Saccharomyces cerevisiae S288C: one gene and its partners. The protein of the gene in region 2 interacts with the protein of the main gene of each other region in a pairwise test. Each region holds a gene or a part of one and is shown on either strand. Other genes may lie near its edges. The genes, in order: FKS3, COS4, SMF3 and ECM3.

Region 1 (8,153 bases), on a different chromosome or scaffold from region 2:
GATTTAAACAACATTGTTGAGATTTAGCTGTGTTTGTTGTTTTTGTTTTATCAGACTTTAAAAATAAAAACTGATTTTGAAATAGCTTAATAAAACGACACAACTATTTATGGATATCTAATTTGTTCGAGGAAAACAACCACGACTTTTCCTCTTAAATAAAAAAATCCGTGTCAACAGTAGTAGAGGGAAAAGTTTTTCAAACCTCGAGGATTATCGGGTATTTTACTAATAAACCGCGCAGGCTGTATGAGGAATACCAAAAGTAGAAATTTCTCATTATTTTCCCGACTTTTCTTTTTCCCATCTCCACGTTTGCGGCACGAAAACTCAGTGTAAAATAAGAAGCAAACAAAACGCGAGCCGCGAAAATATATCGAACTAAAAGTACGCAAAAGAATAGCCAGGGCTGGCCTGTGAATTCATAAAAAGTCTGAGCCGGCTATGATAGGCACCAGCTCGCTTTATCAGCTACTCAAAATAACTTTTTTTTTTTATCCCTATGCGACAGTCCTAAAGGTAGGTAAAGTTGGTGTTGTAGTCAGGATTGTCGATGGAGCATTTGGACCAGTATCGTTGTTGTTTTGGTTGTTAGGTTGGAAGATTCCTTCGAAAAGGGTGCCTTCCAGCAATTCTTGCGGACTAGATACGAAATCACCAGCAAAGAATGGCGCGATGAGCATAAAAAGGAGCACACCTAGCATCACAAAATATAGAGAGAAATATTTTGAAACTATCCTACTTCTTAATGCTCTCTGCTTTCGAGTCAAAATTCTTTTATGCGCGATAATACTTCTTGGATTCATCCAAAATAGCACCATTGTATGCCAGTAATCGATAAATGGTAACAATATTATGGGCGTTTGTATAAATAAGAGGAAGTGACCAAGAAAGAAATCTGCTGCAAAATAACTAGATTCCATAATCTTCACGAAGTATTCTCGTATGGGCTGTAAAATGATAGACCAGCCCATGCCCGTATTGTACCATTTACCATTCCACCATGCCAAATGTGCCTTATTGTTTTTATACTCCCTTGTCAAGAATATCGTCGTAAAGACCTTGAAAAGAATCAGATGCATATTGATGCACGTAATAAGCAGTATCAATGTACGGGTAAAGTTCCAACCTTGTAAGAACCACATCAGTTCGAAATCTAAAAGATAGACCAAAACCGAGAAAGTGTGTGCAATAAACGCAATCACGGCACCTGCGTCTTTACAACAATATGACAATCCAGGAACCACAAAAAGTGAAACCCAAAATAATAGAAAAAGCACTATTGAGTTAAGAAAGATTGGCAAAAAAGTTACGAGCAACAAACGGAAAACAGCGCTAGTTGGTGTTGAGTCAGAGACCCCTGTTTGTGCATTAATGAAAGAAAAAGCGGTGAAGTTGAAGAGGAACACACAGAAAGGTAGAAATAGTTCTGCAAAGAAGACGTTCCAAAACCTCGCTTTCTTTGAATCATGGCCTGAATCTTCGGAAATATCATCTACAGTTTTACTTTTATAGCCCGTAAATCTTGATCGAGAACTCTTGACAAAGTTTGCCCACGATTCTTTTTGATATTTCGTGTTACCTGAGAATAACCAGTGGATAAAGGTTTTATAATCAATGAAGAAATCCATGAATGCGAACTGATGTGGATTGAAAATAAAAGGTGCGAAGCACATCGAAATGACTGTAATCCAAAACCATAATAAGGCGGGTTGCCACATGGAAATAATCGCGAATAATAACATGAAGAACACTTGGAAACCAGAATATATCGATATATTAACAAATCTGGAATAGAGCGTAAAAAAATCGAGGCGTGTTATTGCAAACCCACGACCTGTAGATATGTACTTTGCTCCCCCAAAGGTCAAGTCCATCAATAGAGAATTCGAATAAACTTGGCAGACGAATACTTCAAATAATGGGGCCATTGAAAGAAGATGATGTAGGAACCTTGAAGCTGCTCTCCAAATACCCTTTTCCAAAACTTCTTGAATCAGCAAAGGGGCAAAGGCAATAAAGAAAACAATGAAGATTGATAGTACGAATATCGATACCCAATGCAATGCAGGCTGAATATTATAACAACCAACGGGTGTCTCAAGATTTGTAATTGGTGCATCCTTGTCGTAAAAGCAGGCTATAATTTCATGGTTCAACGCACCCAAGTTTAAAAGCAGAACGAAGAACAGTTGAACCGAAAAGGAAATAAAAAGATTATTCAGATGGAAACCAGGATGTGCATAAAAAAACGATAAAAATCTATCCATGGGAAGTTGTGTCCCCAAATAATAGTACTCCCTTGATAGTAGCTGTTCCCCCATACCTGCACCTATTTTAGTAGTGAAATTCAGGATGGACCCAAATCCCAAATCTCTACCCTTACCACATTGGTAGTAATCACTATGTTTTATCTTTCCACCACGGCAGATTGCGTTCATTCCAGCATATATATCCTCGTTTAAATGCAATCCTCTTTGTGCCTTAGACAGGCCACCACGAGTGGTCATAAAAATGCCATTGAGAAAATCGGGATGCCCATAGTGCAATTTACCACCAATTTCAGCCAACGTTCTAGCAAATAAGGTTCCAAAAGTCTGTTCTTTACCTGCAGCAATATCACCTAACACTCCAATATTTTCTGAAAAAATATACTCTCTTGAACCAACAATAGCGATGGGCGGTGGTTCTTCTTCATATTCAATGCCAGGAATGTATGGGATTGTGGGATTAAGCTCAAGCTCTTCGAACTCACTTAAAACAGACCGTATCTTTAGGCATTCCTCCAAATAATTATCTTGGTTTGCATCAATCACCTGAATATACTCACCACGATAAAATATAATAGAATGGTTCTGATTATCCGATTTTCCATCGCCAAGTATTGGATTGCCCGACAGGCGAATTTTGAATATTGGCTTCCTTAATCCACTTTCTTCGTCAAACTCAGCATAGCCATTAGTCAGGCACGAATAGTACGTTTTCTCAGATTCATTTTGCTCTAATTCTTCCAAAAGGTAAGATATAAACATATTTGGATAGGCTCTTAAAAGTAGTTCTGTTGCCTCCACTTCATCCTTATTAAATTTTGCATATCTCTGCATAGCAACAACCATCCTAAATTTCCTGCTAGCCATATTTTCTAAGTCATTCTCCAATGCTTCATTATTGCCACGATACAAGCTAACTAAAGAGGGGTTTTCAATTCGATACAGTAGCTTAATAGCTTTGGAATAGTTCATAAACCCTGAAAGGGTTCGGTACAAAGTCTGCGTCCGCAATGATGCCCAGATTCTTGTTCTCAGGGTGTACGATGGTTCTGATGAGTTGAAGCCAAAGTAAGAAAATGGCAAATCATTAATTTTCTCCTTAATAAGATCGTCTTCTGTGGGCAACTTCCGGGACTCAGTATGGTCAGAAAGCGGGCTAGACCTTGGATCGTACAGAGCATCCGGAATTTCCAATCTATCTTCATCATGACTGCTCTCTGCCTCTTTCAAAAAGCTCTTTTCCATGCTTAGTAGTTTGGTATCCTTAACAAAACATTCCCATTCTGTAGGGTGTAGATGCTTCAAATACTCAAGCACCGTGATTTTACTTTTAGGAGATTCTTCCCTGATAATTTCCTTCAAGCCCAACAGAATCTTTTCTGAATAATGGGGTACCAAAACGGTAAAAGTTGGCATACAATCCACTGGAACAGGTTCTGAAATGGGGGTCGCCAGGGATTGGGCAAAAAAGGATATCCTTCTTTTTGCCTCTGAATTTGATGGAAAAAATTCCATTGACTTGAACGTTGAATCATCTTGTGCAACGAAAAATGTAGGCGATTTCAGGGTTCTTGTGTCTCCCATTAAGGAGTCAACTTGCTGAAACAAGAGTCTTTGTAAATGTTCAATGGAGAGAAGATGTTCCCTATACATTGATATAACAATGGCATTCCAAACCTGCGATATCAGTATTTTTGCTTTAAATTTTACATCCATCTCTGAAGTAGCAAGGATTTTGGAATATATCCTTTTTGGCAATCGAGAGTATACATTCTTCCATGGCGTGAGAATTGAAGTACCAAGAGAAAATGACAGTACAATGGAAAAAATACAGTTGCAAATAATGTACCAAAGGTAAGTGTCGAGAAAAAACAGGCCCAAGTCAGAAAGCAGCATGAGAACTAATGTAATTTTGGCTTGCCATTTACATAGAATAGGACCCAACAAATATTCACCTTGACATCTGGACAAATCCATAATAGAGAGGACCCTGATGGGGTCCCTGAGGGACAAGGTCAAAAAAAAATAGGACTCAATATATTTCGCCAAATACACAAATACCCATAACCCATAAGAAAACCATTTGCTGCGTCCTGTCAGCTTAGGAAATGAAGCGGTAAAGGTTTGCGATGAGATGTACCTCCGATGTTTTTTGTCTTTATTCAAATATGGACGAAATAAGCCGCCCAAAGGTCTGACAGCAAAAAAAAAAGTGGTTAAAAATGCAATGATTAGTTGGACGATGGACACGATATACGCAGATTTTGAATGAACATCCCATTCGAAAAACCCCAGAACATACACGGAAGGTCCCAAATTGATTGCAAGACAAAAAAGTAAGCCAATCATTCTACTCGATAAATGCTGAGCGCCTGGCCATTCTCGAGGTACAAATCCCCACTCGAACACGGTGGCTAAAATTTGAACTAAACATGCAATTGTGCCTCCAAAGGCAATCACTGATAGTCTAACTTGGGGTGTAGGCTGGTTATTCAATAACTGTATATAATTCTTGGTGTACAAAGTGGGGGAATTAAATGTGGTGAAGAACCAAAACGGTGCAAAATGGATAATCCAGAATCTATTGAAATTGGTAAAACAATGCTTCCAACTTCTGGTTTCTCTATATGTCTTATAAAATACTTTAGACCATGCAACGTCTTTAAAGTAAAGATATCTCTCCTCCAATGGCTTGTCAACTAATCGTTCTCCATTGTTTAAAATAATACGTTCAAATCCTTCCGGGTACCAAAATAATTGATTGATGTCGTCGTAACCAATAATATTCTTGTGGTCTTTTTCTCTTCGTTTCCAGTTCCCCTTTGCGTCTTTTTTGTATACTTGGCCCCTTAGGAATTCGTATAAGGGAGTAATAACGTCATTTAAGTATGAATACTCAGGTGATTTCACCGTTTTTTCGCTACTTGACGTACTAATATCATAATCAAGTGCACATTTGAAAATAAAGCAAAGGCATTCTGGGGCGAATCTGACTTGATTGGCTTCACCCCAGCAAAGCAAATAAAGGGCCAGCTGTCTTATCATATTTTCGGGCGTCAATTTTTTCATTTTCAATTTCCATTTGTAGTCTGCACTTTTCAAGTTTGTCTGATCTTCCAATTGTTCTTGAGTCAGTGTGATCTTTGGATGGTTATTGATGAACTCTTGCTCCTTCTCATTCCATTGCTTAATTTGTTCCTTTATCGATACGCCTCTTTTCTTCGCCATTTTTACGTTTCTTTGGCGTGCCTTTCCATGTAGTCGCATGTTTTGAAACCCGATCTCTTCATCTAAATCGAGCTGAGCGGCAAAATACCATTTTCTATAATTTGCGTGTTCGCCTCCAATATATGAAACATGTAGCGATACTAAAGCATTTTGAGCACCTGTACGACTTGCCCTGGAGTCCAGCTGTCCCATTAAATGTTGATACATATTTTCCATAGAAGATTTCTGGAAGCCAAACTTATCCATGAGCTCCACAAAAATTTCTCTAATTTCCTGCATTGTTATTGGGACTTCATCGTCTTGGCACCAAGCAGGATACTCAACGTCAGTTAGCGAAAACTTGGGACTCATAAAATCCATATTCAACTCCTTAACTTTCCTTCTCAGTATGTTTTTCTTTTCCCAATATGCAGTTCCACAGCCCTTAATGATTAAGTTGTATAGTGGCAAATCCTAGAAGGCATAATTACTTTTGAAGGTTCTCGCCAAATAGCCGCTGACCATGTAAAACTCTTACCCGCATAATTTAACCATCATTGCCGCACTAGGCAAGATGGTCCGATCTTGATGGGCGAGAATGATTAGTTCAGAGACGTGCAACAGCCATATACGAAAGCTGTCTCGGCCTTCACTTATGCTGATACCAGGCACGGTAATAATTAAGAAAGAATGCCTCCCTCTTTCTTTTTCTCAGGCAAGACATCTAGATTTTCTTTTTATCTAAGCCCTCAATGACAAAAATATTTGTTCCTTACATATCCCCAGAGATCTTCGGTCTAGATTTCGCGAAAGACCGTTTGCAGTAATTTACCTTTTTCGGAAAAGTCCTCGAAGATTTCGGACGAAGTAAAACCTGAAGAGAAAAATGCCAAGACTTTTAATTGCGCGAAACAGCGGACAAAAAATTCGCGTTGAAACGTTTGAATATGGTAACAAACGTCGCACGCGTTTGAAAGTTATTCGTGTTTTCATGTGTACAGTAACTTCTCCATCGAGAGCCGTATCCATAAGCCTTCTTTTCCACGTTTGTTTCAAAACTGTAGTATTTATAATGGAGGGAAAGATGTCTGCGTGAAGTTTGTCTTACAGTGTATCTTTGAAGCGTGCATCATATTTTTCCCATTTTAAATTCATCTATTATATAGGCCCAAATAAAAGAGTTAAATACTATACTTTTGCAATATTGAGCTGAACATCCAACTGTCACGTCTCTCCTTTACTATTACTGTTCTTTTTTTCAAATTGTCAAAAGATAGTATTAACGCAAAAAAAGTCTTCATTCCATTATGCGTTTTTCAAATTTCCTAACTGTATCTGCATTATTAACCGGAGCTCTAGGAGCTCCTGCTGTTCGCCATAAACATGAAAAGCGTGACGTTGTTACTGCCACAGTCCATGCGCAGGTTACTGTTGTCGTTTCCGGTAACAGCGGCGAAACTATTGTTCCAGTGAACGAGAATGCTGTTGTAGCTACTACCAGCAGTACTGCAGTTGCTTCTCAAGCAACTACATCCACTTTAGAACCAACAACTTCCGCTAATGTCGTCACTTCTCAACAACAAACCAGCACTCTTCAATCTTCCGAGGCAGCATCTACGGTTGGTTCTTCGACTTCATCCTCACCCTCATCCTCATCCTCAACTTCATCTTCAGCTTCATCCTCCGCTTCATCTAGTATCTCAGCCTCCGGTGCTAAGGGTATTACTTACAGTCCTTACAATGATGATGGGTCCTGTAAATCTACTGCTCAAGTCGCCTCAGATTTAGAACAGTTGACTGGTTTTGACAACATCAGATTATATGGCGTTGACTGTAGTCAGGTTGAGAATGTCTTGCAAGCTAAAACTTCAAGCCAGAAATTATTCTTAGGCATATATTACGTTGACAAAATTCAAGACGCCGTTGATACTATTAAATCTGCAGTTGAGTCTTATGGCTCCTGGGATGATATTACCACTGTTTCTGTCGGTAACGAACTGGTCAATGGCGGTTCTGCCACTACGACGCAAGTCGGTGAATACGTTTCCACGGCCAAGTCAGCTTTAACCTCTGCTGGTTATACAGGCTCAGTCGTTTCCGTTGATACCTTCATTGCTGTTATAAATAACCCTGACCTGTGTAATTATTCTGACTATATGGCTGTCAACGCCCATGCATACTTCGATGAAAATACTGCGGCCCAAGATGCAGGACCATGGGTACTAGAACAAATCGAAAGGGTTTACACTGCTTGTGGTGGGAAAAAGGACGTCGTTATTACCGAAACTGGTTGGCCATCTAAGGGTGATACTTACGGCGAAGCTGTCCCATCTAAAGCAAACCAAGAAGCCGCCATTTCTTCTATCAAAAGCTCCTGCGGCTCTTCAGCTTACTTATTTACCGCCTTCAATGATCTATGGAAAGATGATGGGCAATACGGTGTTGAAAAATACTGGGGTATTCTATCAAGTGATTAAACCACTGAAACTTCATTTACTTTATGATCATTCTTTTTCCCTTTTTCTTAAAAAGCAGCCAAATATGGGGGAAATAAGCCCTTTCCCATATTTGCTCTCCTATTCTTATCACGTTATTGTTTACTTATGTGTTTTGTGTAAAGTATATATTCTATACTCATTTGTGAAAGATTTTTCAATTTGTCTTCCTTTTAGCTAC
Region 2 (3,757 bases):
TGCAATGTCCCACTATAAAAAAATTCCTTGACGCTAGATCGTTGGACTAAAATCTGCGTCCCAATCGCCTAAACAGGAAATATTGCCTATTTTCGTACAAGGTTACTTCCTAGATGCTATATGTCCCTACGGCCTTGTCTAACACCATCCAGCATGCAATACAGTGACATATATATACCCACACACCCACACACACCACACCCACACACCCACACCCACACACCACACCCACACCACACCCACACACCACACCCACACCACACCACACCCACACCACACCCACCACACCCACACCCACACACCACACCCACACCCTAATACTACCTCAACCCTACCCTAATCCAACCCTTCCATCCTGTCTCTCAACTTACCCTCCATTACCCTGCCTCCCCACTCGTTACCCTGCCTCCCCACCACCAACCCACAAATCCACCATAACAGTTACCCTCCAATTACCCATATCCAACCTCACTGCCACTTACCCTGCCATTACCCTACCATCCACCATGTCCTACTCACTGTACTGTTGTTCTACCCTCCATATTGAAACGTTAACAAATGATCGTAAACAATGCACACATACTTACCCTGCCAATACCCTACCATGCCCCATCTGTCATACTCACCATCACTTGTATACTGATACGGCATACGCACACGGATGCTACAATAGTATATACTATCTCAACTTACCCTACTTTCACATTCCACTCCATGGCCCATCTCTCACTTCATGAGTACAAATGCACCCACATCATTATGCACGGCACTTGCCTCAGCGGTCTATACCCTGTGCCATTTACGCATAACTCCCACTATTATCCACATTTTAATATTTATATCTTATTCCGCGGCCCCAAATATTGTATAAATGCCCTTAATACATACGTTATACCTCTTTTTCACCGTATACTAACCACTCAATTTATATACACTTATGCCAATATTACAAAAAAATCACCACTAAAATCACCTAAACATAAAAATATTCTATCCTTCAACAATAATACATAAACACACTCAATTGCGTATCAATACCACCATGAGGTCATTAACTTAAATGTTCCTTAATACCGTCATACCACTATGCTCTATTCCATATATTGTAATATAACTGTACTCTATAGTCATACAGACGCTTTTACTTCACCCTATCTTCTCATACTATTGTCATAGAATCGCACACTGACGCATGATTAAAACGAATAATTTTTACTATAAGGCCTCCCATCCGTGCTCTATCCTTTTGTTTGAAACATTTATATACAGAATCTCAAAGCAAGCGGGAGAAGTAGTAATTACCCAGAGGTCATGCATGATCTTAGCACCACCGTACCTCTAAGTTTTGCTTTGAGCCTTTTTACAGTGACATCAAACATAAGGAGAAAAAATGGTATTGAAAGGTTATCAATATAGGGAAATAAATTGGTTCTATGAATCTTCATGTAAGATACTCGTAGGACAGACTCTTTCCTGTGTAAATATTTGTGACAGCTACGTCTATTTTCTATTAGATATTTACACATTTTTGTCACAGGCAATCTACGCTTAAAATATACGTTTCATTTTGGGTAACAACTGCTGTGCGAACAGTGACATTGCTGGTCGCACCTTAAATGTAAACCAAAGTTACGGCACACCGTGATGTACCCTCATACAAAGCTTTGTAAAAGTATTATTACGATTATCGAGTAACTTAGATAGAAAACCGGAAATGAAATGGACTCCCTTTTCGAATAGTAGAGTTTCTGTGCCTAAAATAGCCCAACATTGTTGCCCTTTTTCTATCACGAGGTTACTGAGCCATTGCATGAACGCGCGCGCCTCGGCGGCTTTTTTTTCTACTCTATAAAAGCGAAAAGCCAGAAGTTACTATCTCGAATAAAAAACCCCTCGAACTGCCATCTCATTACCGAAAATGAAAGAAAATGAACTTAAAAATGAGAAAAGTGTAGATGTATTATCTTTCAAACAGCTCGAATCTCAAAAGATTGTTCTACCTCAAGATCTTTTCAGAAGCAGCTTTACCTGGTTTTGTTATGAAATTTACAAGTCCTTAGCGTTTCGCATCTGGATGCTATTATGGCTACCACTTAGCGTCTGGTGGAAGCTTTCCAACAATTGGATTTACCCGCTTATGGTTTCACTTCTTGTCCTGTTTTGGGGACCAGTATTTGTTCTTGTTATTTTTAGACTTTCTCGTAAACGTTCCTTATCGAAACAACTCACTCAGTTTTGCAAAGAGATTACTAAAAGCACACCAAGTTCGGATCCTCATGATTGGGAAGTTGTTGCAGCAAATCTAAATTCGTACTTATATGAAAATAAGGCTTGGAATATTAGGTACTTTTTCTTCAATGCCATGGGCTGCCAAGAAGCGTTCAGAACAACCCTTCTCGAACCCTTCTCTTTGAAAAAAGACGAAGCTGCCAAGGTTAAGTCATTTAAGGATTCCGTCCCTTACATTGAAGAAGCATTGGGAGTTTATTTTAGAGAAGTTGAAAAACAATGGAAGTTGTTTAATTCTGAGAAATCATGGAGCCCTGTTGGCCTGGAAGATGCTAAACTTCCCAAGGAAGCTTACCGATTTAAGCTTACTTGGTTTTTAAAGAGGATTTCCAATATTTTTATGTTGATACCATTCCTTAATTTTTTGTGCTGCATATATGTGTCACGGGGAATGTGCCTTCTATTACGCACCTTGTATCTCGGGTGGATTCTTTTCATGTTGGTACAAGGTTTCCAAAATATAAGGGTTTTGATTATGAGCATGGAACACAAGATGCAGTTCTTGTCGACTATTATAAATGAGCAAGAAAGTGGTGCGAATGGATGGGACGAAATTGCAAGGAAAATGAATAGGTACTTGTTTGAGAAAAAAGTCTGGAAGAATGAAGAGTTTTTCTTTGACGGGATTGACTGTGAATGGTTTTTTAGCCACTTCTTCTACCGCGTTCTATCTGCGAAGAAATCTATGCGGGCTCTATCATTGAATGTGGAACTATGGCCATATATTAAAGAAGCGCAATTATCCTGCAGTGAGGAGTCCTTAGCGTAAAGATAAATACAACTTTTTCAATTTATATATTTTGTAGTTTGTCAGCTGCGAATAACCAAAACGAGACTACTTTTTACGATTACAACCATTCTCTTTTTCCCTATTTCTCACTGGTTGACAGAAATCAGTGTGCTATCATCCTACCATATGCGCAAAACTTATTGTCTTTCTCCTCCTAGAGATGCTGTATTCCATGCATATTCTGAACGATGGGTTGGTGTTTTTATCAAGCAAGGTTAATCACATGGCGTGGCTTGCTCCACGCATCAGTAGAAAACGCATACCGCAGCGGAATCCTTAAATAATAAGTGATTTTACTGTTCATCAACTACAATCGGACTCTTTCACAATTACCCTTCTTGTTTTCCACATTTACTGTTAAATGAAGGGATGTACAGAAGGCTTAGGAAAACCTGTGCTGAATACTGGATGGACACTGCATTCCCACAGTGAAGCTTTTATAGATACACTGCCAGTTATTTTCGAACTTTCATCAAGTTGCTGAGTTTTAGTATCCCTTTGCCTTAGCTATATGTTTGAATGAGCAAAATATTTGCAATGTCTCTAGCTTTCTTGAAATATTGGTTTATATTGAGGGCTTGGTAAGATTTCAAATTTCATTTTGAAGTGCTCAGGAGAAAAATCATGCTCTTTTGATAATTTGGTGACTAAACATACATAAAACAGTTTAATTTTGGG
Region 3 (4,158 bases), on a different chromosome or scaffold from region 2:
CAAACTGATATAGAAAACGAAGCTCCAAGATTAGGATTTGTAGGCGCTAATACTAGTAATATTCCGGACCCTACGTTACCACCAACTGAAATGATGACTAGATTTTTGCATCCAAATTGGTATGCTTTACCTACAACCGTCTGGCTAAAATATGGTAATTATAATTCTTGGGCACCTTCCTTTAATGAAAACGGCACCGTTGTGGATTCGACAACAAGGGGTCTTATTTGGCTTGAAAGAATTGGTTATATGGACTTGTATGAAAAAAATGAAAAGAAAGTAAAACAAGAAGAATTACTGAACACGAATGAAGAAGGCATAAACAGGAAGCAGAACGATGAAAACAACAAAAATGTTGACGGCAAAAGCAATGGCGTTCAGGACGATGGTGGTGATAATGATAATGATGCGACTATCGCTTCTGCAAATTCAGAGAGTACTGAGAATAAGGAACAATTCATAATCAAGCTTCAAAACTTATATAATTGGACACCATCTAATTACATTGGAGATGACGAAATTGAGAACTTTCGAAATGGCACACCAGATAAGTTGGTTTCAGACTCTCTCTTAAAACTTAAAAGACTTAGAAAGGAGAGGATTTTAAATAAAGTTTTGAAGCCTACTACGGAGGAACGAGAATTATACTTCAAAGTGAAAAGAATACTAAAGGAGGTTATCTTAGCAAAGAAGGTTTCCAAGGTTCCTATAAACAATGTAAGGGCCTTTCCAGTATTACAAACAAACTATAATGGTAGCATACCTGTGGTAAGGGCGCAACCAGGTCGTAAACGGAAACACAAGAAATAAATAGTGTCAGCGGTAGTGGAATCAAAGATAAATAATGAATTATCTTTGTTTTAGTTTCATGAAAGCTCATCAAGTCTTTTTTGACTAATGTATGTTTATATTTTGATATTAGATAAAGTATGCATTTGTTCTGAAGGCTATGCATACGTAAGTATATACTTGGGTTGTATTATGCAGAATAAAGAAATGAGAGAAAACAAGAATCGAGAGAAAACGACACACTTGACAATAAATAGGTTCCATTAAAAATGGATGTCGGCACCTAAGAGATAGGAAATCACCAAATAGCAATTCAAGCTCCCGATTAAAGCCCATACGAAAACAGAGGTATAGGTCAACAAACGACTGTTAGTAAAATCAACTATTTTACTGTGCTTGGAGTTCAATGGAGTGGTTTCATCAGCAATGGCGTTAACATCGGCAGGTGCTCTTACCACACCATTTTCGTCATGAACAACCATCAACTTTCTATTTGCGGTAAAATAAATTAAAGGAGCGGATACGATTGGTAAAATTAAGGACAAGACCACTTGAGAAAAATTCAAAATATCTGAAATTCCCTTTTCCCCCATGGTTAAAGTAACAAATAAACATGGTACAATGGCAATCAATCTGGTGCACAATCTTGTGGCCCAAGGTGGTAAAGACCACTGTAAAAATCCCTCAGAAACGATTTGCCCGGCAAGTGTACAGATGATACCGGCAGATTGACCAGAACATAACATGGCCAATGCAAAGATTAACCCTGCCGCAGGAGATATGTAGTGGACCAGTAATTTGTAAATAGATAACAAATCAGCATCCTCTGCCTCAGGTTGGCCTGATAAAGTAGCACCTGCAACAATTAAAATAGCGGAATTAACAAAGGTGGCAATTAAGAACAAAGAAATGATTAGTTCAGCGTACGCATAGTTTAACGTATATTTTATAGCGCTTAAACTTGGGCGGGCATTAACCTTACCGTATTTCTTCAAATCGTAATCGTGCAATCTTGGTTTAACAATGGATGAGCCCAAGTATAATGAATGAGGCATCACAGTGGCACCTAAGATACCCAATGAAATGTAAAGAGCTTGTTGTTCCTTAAAAATGATATTTGAAGGCAAAAACCCTTTAAACAATTCAGCTTTGTCTGGGATTGAAACTTTAAACAGCTCCAAAACAAAGCAAATGCAAGTTCCAATGACCAAAATCCCAACGCCAAATTCGAAAACCCTAACTTTTTTTAAGGACTGGCCGTTTGGTGTGTAGAACATTAAAATTACCAAAACATCTAGCACCGTTAATAAGACACCCCAAGTTAGTGGTATTTTGAAAAGAATTTGTAAAGCGATGGCAGTGCCTACAACCTCGGCCAGATCAGTAGCAATGATTGCCACTTCAGCGAAAAGGTAAAGGGTATAGTTTAGCTTTTTAGGCAAATTATGACGACAGTTTTCAGCCAAATCATAGCCAGTGATAGTACCCAGCTTCACACAGAGACATTGCAAAAGTACGGCAAAAATGTTGGATATAAAAATAGAGAATAATAAGGTATATTTGTATTGAGCACCACCGGAAACACTAGTGGCATAATTTCCTGGGTCCATATAAGCCACACTGACTAATATCCCTGGCCCAATAAATTTGGCAAATTTTTGAAGAATCTGCATATAAGATCGCATTTTTTTTCTCTTGTGATGCTACTACTGTTATCAATTAGCTTGGAAGAACGATATATTTAAAGGAGTTCAGAAGGAAATAATAGTTTGGGTATGACAACTGAAAAAAAAAATGAACTAATATATAAAGGAACCCCGTATATTTATGTGGAGTGATCTTTGTCTTCTAGCTCCTTTGAAATAAATATTCAATTATGCAACCTCACAGAATCAGATGAATGAGATATATACAGTATAAATACCTTTAGTCGCATGACAACAGGATGTCGTAACAATGCAATATTAGAGCATTTTTAAGTTGACCCAAAACGGAAATTTCAAGGTGCGGAAACTGGAAGAGAGGCAGGGCGGGCAACAGGGTGCGGTTACCATGAGTTACAAACAATGGTCTATTATGAAGTAATCTATTGTGCTGAGTGGTGATAGTGCACCCGATCATCAGGGGCTGTCTGGCGTGAAGAGGCACCATTCATTTGTCGTGGCTTCAATGTGTCCCGGTTTCTTCACATGCGCTCGCAAGGCTTGCAAAAGACTGGAAGAAGGGCTTGTGGCATCGTCCCTCGATCGTAACCACAGAGTTTCTTTGGCAAAGTTATCGCTGTCATGCTTAACAATTTTTTCATTCTTCAGGGTATAGACGTAGTTGTTGGTATACTCGGAAAAATGCATGAGTTTCGGCCTTGTTTTGTGCATGCAGGATGCTTTCTTTATATAATTATCAGTTACTTTTTTTTTCGAATTTCGTGGAATGGTCATGTCCACGGTATTGTTTCTTTTACCGTAGGTTTGCTGAAGCTTTATTAGTTCCTTTTTTTCTGTATTTGAAAGCTGTCTTTCGTTGGGCATTCCCCTTTTATTGGCATCTCCACAGCTAGTACGTTTGGCCTCAAGTAAGTTTTCGCTCAGTTTCTTGTTGACGTTTCTTATTTTTGTGATCATAAAAGGATTAGAAATAGAAGCGTCCTTAGAAAGTTCTAAATCCTCGTTCTCTGGAATAGTTTCTATATAGTTATAAGTTAATGACGAGGGTAATGTTGAGGATCCAGCTCCTGCTACTTCACTATTTTCGCTTAGTTCTTGTTGGAAATTATGTCGCCAATTAGTACTGTCCTCGGAAGCCATAGACCCGGAACTCGAGCTTCTATAACTTGAAATGGTCAGCTGAGTTTGTTCGTCAAGAGCTTTATCCTCGCTAAATTTTGTAGGTGAAGGAGTAGCAGCGACAATGGTCGTATTCTCTAAGTTTGCTTCATCGTAAAAAGTTGGTACTATCAAATCTGAGTTTTTTTGTGGGATGTCAGTCTTGTCTTTACCACTAACAGCACCACAGCCCTTTGATATTTCATTCTCTGCGTCGGGTGTAGGTATCACCAGTGCGGGAGAAGTTTTTTCGTTGATAGAAGGCTGAACATGTTTATCTCCCAGCATATTTGTTTCGATGCCAATTCTCTCCTCCAATAACAACTTTAACTTATTCTCTATCTTCTTAAATATCACTTCAAAACTTTTGATCATCACGTCATTTTTCTCTGGTTCGATATTTACGTCAAGAAGCTTTGTATCGCAATTTAAATTAATAAACCAAACCATAGGATCTAGTAAAGAGAAATCTCTATAGATTGACGATAGTAACTTAGAAATAGTCTTCCCCGTCTCCAAGTTCAAAGATAGCGCTCTCTCATTAACA
Region 4 (4,599 bases), on a different chromosome or scaffold from region 2:
AGCCCAAAAAATTCTAGTATGATAATGGAAGTTTGGGCGAAAAATAGAGCATCGATAATGCAAGCCTGGTTTGATCAGAAAATTCAAATAGAAGCACAATTTGGCATAAACTATGGTGAAAATATTTCCATTTATTTATTATCAGATTATGAAAAGGACAATATTTAACACATCCAAGTACAGTAAATTTGTCATGACTATTGGATGCTACTGAGTTGTGGAAAGACTCTAATTAATCTATATTAGAGATTAAATAATTATTTATAATTTTTGATTATAAACATGAAATAATCATGTATGTTTTATATGTAAATACGCTATACCACTTAAAAATTAATGAAAAGGATATTTATGATTCACAAATAATTAAAAGATCACCTTTTTTCGTTCCATCAGAAAATCTTATGTTCGAAAAAAGAAGAAAAAGATTAGTAACACTGAGAAGCTGCGACTAAATGTTATTTTTTTGAATAACAATCAAAAGTGAAATTGTATAAACAGAAGAAAAAGCATGAAGTTTTGTTTTCATTATTATTTTTATACTATGAAACTCTATAAAATCTGAAATAAGTGAATTCTACGTTGATAAAAAAAGACCAACAAACAACTATAAAATTACACCCTGATTCAGTTGTACGATGAAATGAAATTATGAGAATGAGAATGGGAATGCATGAATAGATCTTGTTTCTTCCTTAACGAACTTTATAATTTCATTTGAACTTTGATGAAATAAGACACCAAAAATGGTAAACTAACGACCATCAAAGGATATTGAAGCATCAAAAAGAAAGAGGTACATTCCATTTGAACGGGTTCAGTTTCGTCCTCAGGGGTATAACTTGCAGTGAAGTAGATTAAGGTGGTCATTGTTGGTAAGTTCCAAGTAATGGCGGTAACAAACAATAACATCTTGTCGTTTTCCCAATTTAGCCATCCCGCTTTCACTAGACGGTCACACCACAAGACACCAAAGATCGGCATGATACATTGTCTGAGAAAGACTAATACCACTGCGGATTTCCAGAAACCAGGGTATAATTTTCCAATTTTCAATCTACCAAGAGTAGCGCCTAAAAGAATCAAACCGAAGGGAACTGAAGCGGCTCCAACATAAGATGTAAAATCCATAATGAAAGTTAGAGCAGGTGCATTATCTGGGGCTTGTTTGATTTTTGGTGTATTACTGGTCGTAACGAAAAGGGCTTTTACCCAGGGAATAAAAGCGATAATCAAAGCCAGGATAACAGCCATGGAACAAGGCCTTAGACAATTTTTTAGAAAAAAGACGAAAAATTTTGTTAAGGGAAATTTCTGTAGCCATTTTGGTAAAGAGGAACCGGAAGTCTCAATATCTTTCTTACTAACAGTGGCATCTGAGGTGATTATTCTTGTTAGGTTGGAAGTTTTGACTCTTTGTAAAGTGGAGGTTCTAGTCAAATTTGGAGAAATAGTACCGTCTGCCTGCAAAACAGAGGGTGCTCCTTGGGAGCTGATAGAACTTTTCCTTCTTCTACCGTATTGATCAACATTGGAGTATTCACGAATTAAATCCGACATGCCTTCCGCGGGTAGTTCACGCATATCGATGGAACGTAAGGAGCCAGTGATGGAATTCCTGCGGTTATTATGAACATGTGATGTTCTTGACTCGGTAGTGTATGCTATTGGTTGACTTCTAGTTCTGTAAGTAGGATCGTTAAGCTCGCTTACAGATTGGGCATCCACATGGTTTGTGCGTAGTGAGTGTGTAATGCTATCGATAGAGACCACCGCGGATGAGTTCGAGCTCCTGTCATCTATTGCTGGAGGGGCAGTATGTGTAGGCTTGGGGACAGAGAGTTCAGTTTTTTCTTTTTTATTTTTCTCAGAAATGTAGCTTGCTTGTGAACTGTTAGGAACGGTAGACTCGTTGGGCTCTTTCAGGATATCTTGGTTGGATGAAGAAGAAGAATTGCCTTCAATTGGTTGTGTTGGCTGTTGGGCAGAATCATCATTGGTCAACGTATTTTCTTCATCGTCATCACCTTTGTAATGGAAATCGTTTTCAATTAGTCTGAAACCACCTAAATTGAAAACACATATCAAAAACATGGCCAGAAAGATGATAACGTTGGCAACACCTTTCTCACCTTCTGCTTCTGTAAATATAAACCCTTGGTCCATGGATTGCAAATAGGCGATGGGTAGATCGCTGATATTGGGAAACATACCTCCTGCAAGTATACCACCACGCCATCTCTTAGGAACAGGCAGCACACTGCGAACAATAAAGGCAAACCCCAAGCCAGTTGCGAACAGTATAACAGACGTCAGACAAATAATGCCGACATCTTTGATATCGTTATCTTCTATATTTGCTACGATTTTATTGAATGATAAACAAGGAAGCAGAATTGTTAAAACGATATCAGAGATGGACCTTGTGGCCTGAACGGTTAAGATGTTCATCTTGCATAAACCGAAGCCTACACCAATAATCAGATAGATTTTGATGATTGGTCTGACAGAGGCCCAGATGGCTTGTCCCAGTGTGATGTGTGTCATTGTCTACTTGTCTTGAACTTACTCTTTGTCTTCTATTGTTTTGTTTGTGTTGGTTCTATAATGCTAAACTTAACTATCTATGCCTTTTTATCTTCCTCTCGGTAATGGTCAACAATACGCAGTTTCTGTACAAATGTAAAGTCTGAAAAACCTAATATAAAGAAAAATTGCGAGGCTTCTGAGAAGAAATTCCGGATGCCCTATGATGAAAGTCTATATTAAAAACAATGAAAGGCCTATTATATAACAAAAATTACAAGCATATAATAACGGTGCAAGAGTAACAGATGGTAGCGTACGAAGGAGGGATGCGTCAAACATATATTCAGGCCCTCTAAGTATATAGCCTCATCCCCCGAGGCTGCAAAGAGATGCAGTGAAAGGAAGCTCAACTATCACCGATTGTGAAATAGAGAGCAAAACTCGAGCACTTTTAATCCCAGATATTGTCGGGCGGATCCGAGGTGAAAAAACACCTCAACAACGTGGGGGCGTGGGGCGTGGGATATCGAAAGGGGCAAAAAGACGGCAGATAAGCATGGGCCGCGGTCGTGCTGCGTGATCAGCTACATGACGTGACATGCTTTGTGTTGGTGTGTGTGCGTGTATTATATATACGGTGGCATATATACAGTTTAGTCTATATGAATTTTAGACTATGCGAGCGTGGCGGAGTTGGCTTTTTTGATGTCGAAGGTGGGGTTGCTACCGTCACCGTAGTCCTTGATGCCGCCGTCGTCTTGGTGGTCAGCCTTCTTCAAGGCATCTGTGAATTCAGTAAGATCCCATGCGGATCCCTGGGTGACGTCGTCTGGCATGTCGGCGTTGTCCGTCTCAAATGACTTGTTTTCGGCGCTCATCTTAAGAATGATTTCTCTACCAGTAGGTTTCCTCTTACTAGATAACTTCTTTTCAGCGTTAATCTTTGCGATGACGTGGTCCTTCTTCCATTGGGCGAAGTTGGCAATTGTTATTGGTGTTAGCTTGGATTTGTCTAGTTTCCCTCTTTCTGTTTCGATAAACTCCTCCAGCGTAATTTTTGGCTGTTTCTCGAGCGACTCCCTCTCGAGCCTCTTTTGCTCGTTGGTTTTCAGCACAAAGCCCTCTGGTAGGGAGTGTCTGTACATACATTTGTCACCTCCGTTAGGACAAATCCAAAACCAACCGTATTTACCGTTTTCCACGGCCTCGATGAAGTATTTGCATACTTTGTCGGTGGTGGTCTTTGGGTTACCGTGCTTCGACAGGATAACTTTTCTCAGCTTTTCTTCATCCCAGTTGTCCATTGTGTCATTTTCCTTTTCACTTCTTGTATCTTGGTATAAATCTTTCTTTTCCATTCTTCTACCGACGTTCAAGTCATGTGAGAACTTACATTTGGCACCTTTGTTACAATTCCCCAGTTTGAACAGAGCACAAACCATGGACTTGGGATCTACACCCGCACGAACCCTTTGGTCTGCTACAGGGTTGAATAGTGCTCTTCGTTCAGCTTCTTCGGCTTCTCTGCGCTTTTTTTCTTCGAGTTTCTTTAACCTCATCTCTTCTTTCTTGGGGTCGGATTGTGATTGCACTTGTTTGATGTATTTTTGGACTTTGGTAGAACGGTTCTTGTTCTTCATACCGAACGTCTTGTCGACATTATCCTTCTTCTTACCAGCCGCTTGGGCCTGTTTTCCCTTTTTTGGTGGCATCTTCGAAATATAACTTTCCTGCGATTTTATATGTGTAAAGCCCAGAGGTTTACTAATAGAGTGGCTTCCCTTGCTTTCTAGAAATAGTAAAACACATTGATTAAAAAAAGATATATTGTCGATTTTCACTAACTCATCGCTGGGGAACAAAAATTTTTTCATTATCATCACAGTTCATCATGTTCGACGAGCTACGTGCCAATTCATTTCCTCCACTAGTCTCCAACTTAAGAAATACTCTCAGAGGTTGCAATCTTGTGCTGTTCAGGGTGTGATGGGCAGCATTGACTAAATTTCCTTATCCCTTGCATAGTTACATTCTTAGTTATCAGGTATTGGCGACCAATTGCATACATTT

Evidence for each region.
Region 1: the proteins of COS4 (region 2) and FKS3 interact in a protein complementation assay, tested with the Saccharomyces cerevisiae proteins (one large-scale study listed by BioGRID).
Region 3: the proteins of COS4 (region 2) and SMF3 interact in a protein complementation assay, tested with the Saccharomyces cerevisiae proteins (one large-scale study listed by BioGRID).
Region 4: the proteins of COS4 (region 2) and ECM3 interact in a protein complementation assay, tested with the Saccharomyces cerevisiae proteins (one large-scale study listed by BioGRID).

Annotation. Positions count from the first base shown.
Region 1 is NC_001145.3:878,864-887,016, reverse strand, and holds FKS3 (putative 1,3-beta-D-glucan synthase), read right to left. Parts: upstream 5,859-8,153; coding exon 501-5,858; downstream 1-500. Other genes in the region: 1,3-beta-glucanosyltransferase GAS1, read right to left, coding at 1-14; SCW10 (putative family 17 glucosidase), read left to right, coding at 6,785-7,954. UniProt on the Saccharomyces cerevisiae protein: Required for spore wall assembly.
Region 2 is NC_001138.5:4,508-8,264, forward strand, and holds COS4 (Cos4p), read left to right. Parts: upstream 1-1,918; coding exon 1,919-3,058; downstream 3,059-3,757.
Region 3 is NC_001144.5:209,460-213,617, forward strand, and holds SMF3 (putative divalent metal ion transporter SMF3), read right to left. Parts: upstream 2,475-4,158; coding exon 1,053-2,474; downstream 1-1,052. Other genes in the region: RSC58 (Rsc58p), read left to right, coding at 1-810; mismatch repair protein MLH2, read right to left, coding at 2,910-4,158. UniProt on the Saccharomyces cerevisiae protein: Has a role in controlling the cellular iron ion levels. Mobilizes vacuolar stores of iron in conditions of low iron levels.
Region 4 is NC_001147.6:493,075-497,673, reverse strand, and holds ECM3 (putative ATPase ECM3), read right to left. Parts: upstream 2,548-4,599; coding exon 706-2,547; downstream 1-705. Other genes in the region: CMR2 (Cmr2p), read left to right, coding at 1-168; translation machinery-associated protein TMA46, read right to left, coding at 3,204-4,241. UniProt on the Saccharomyces cerevisiae protein: May be involved in cell wall organization and biogenesis.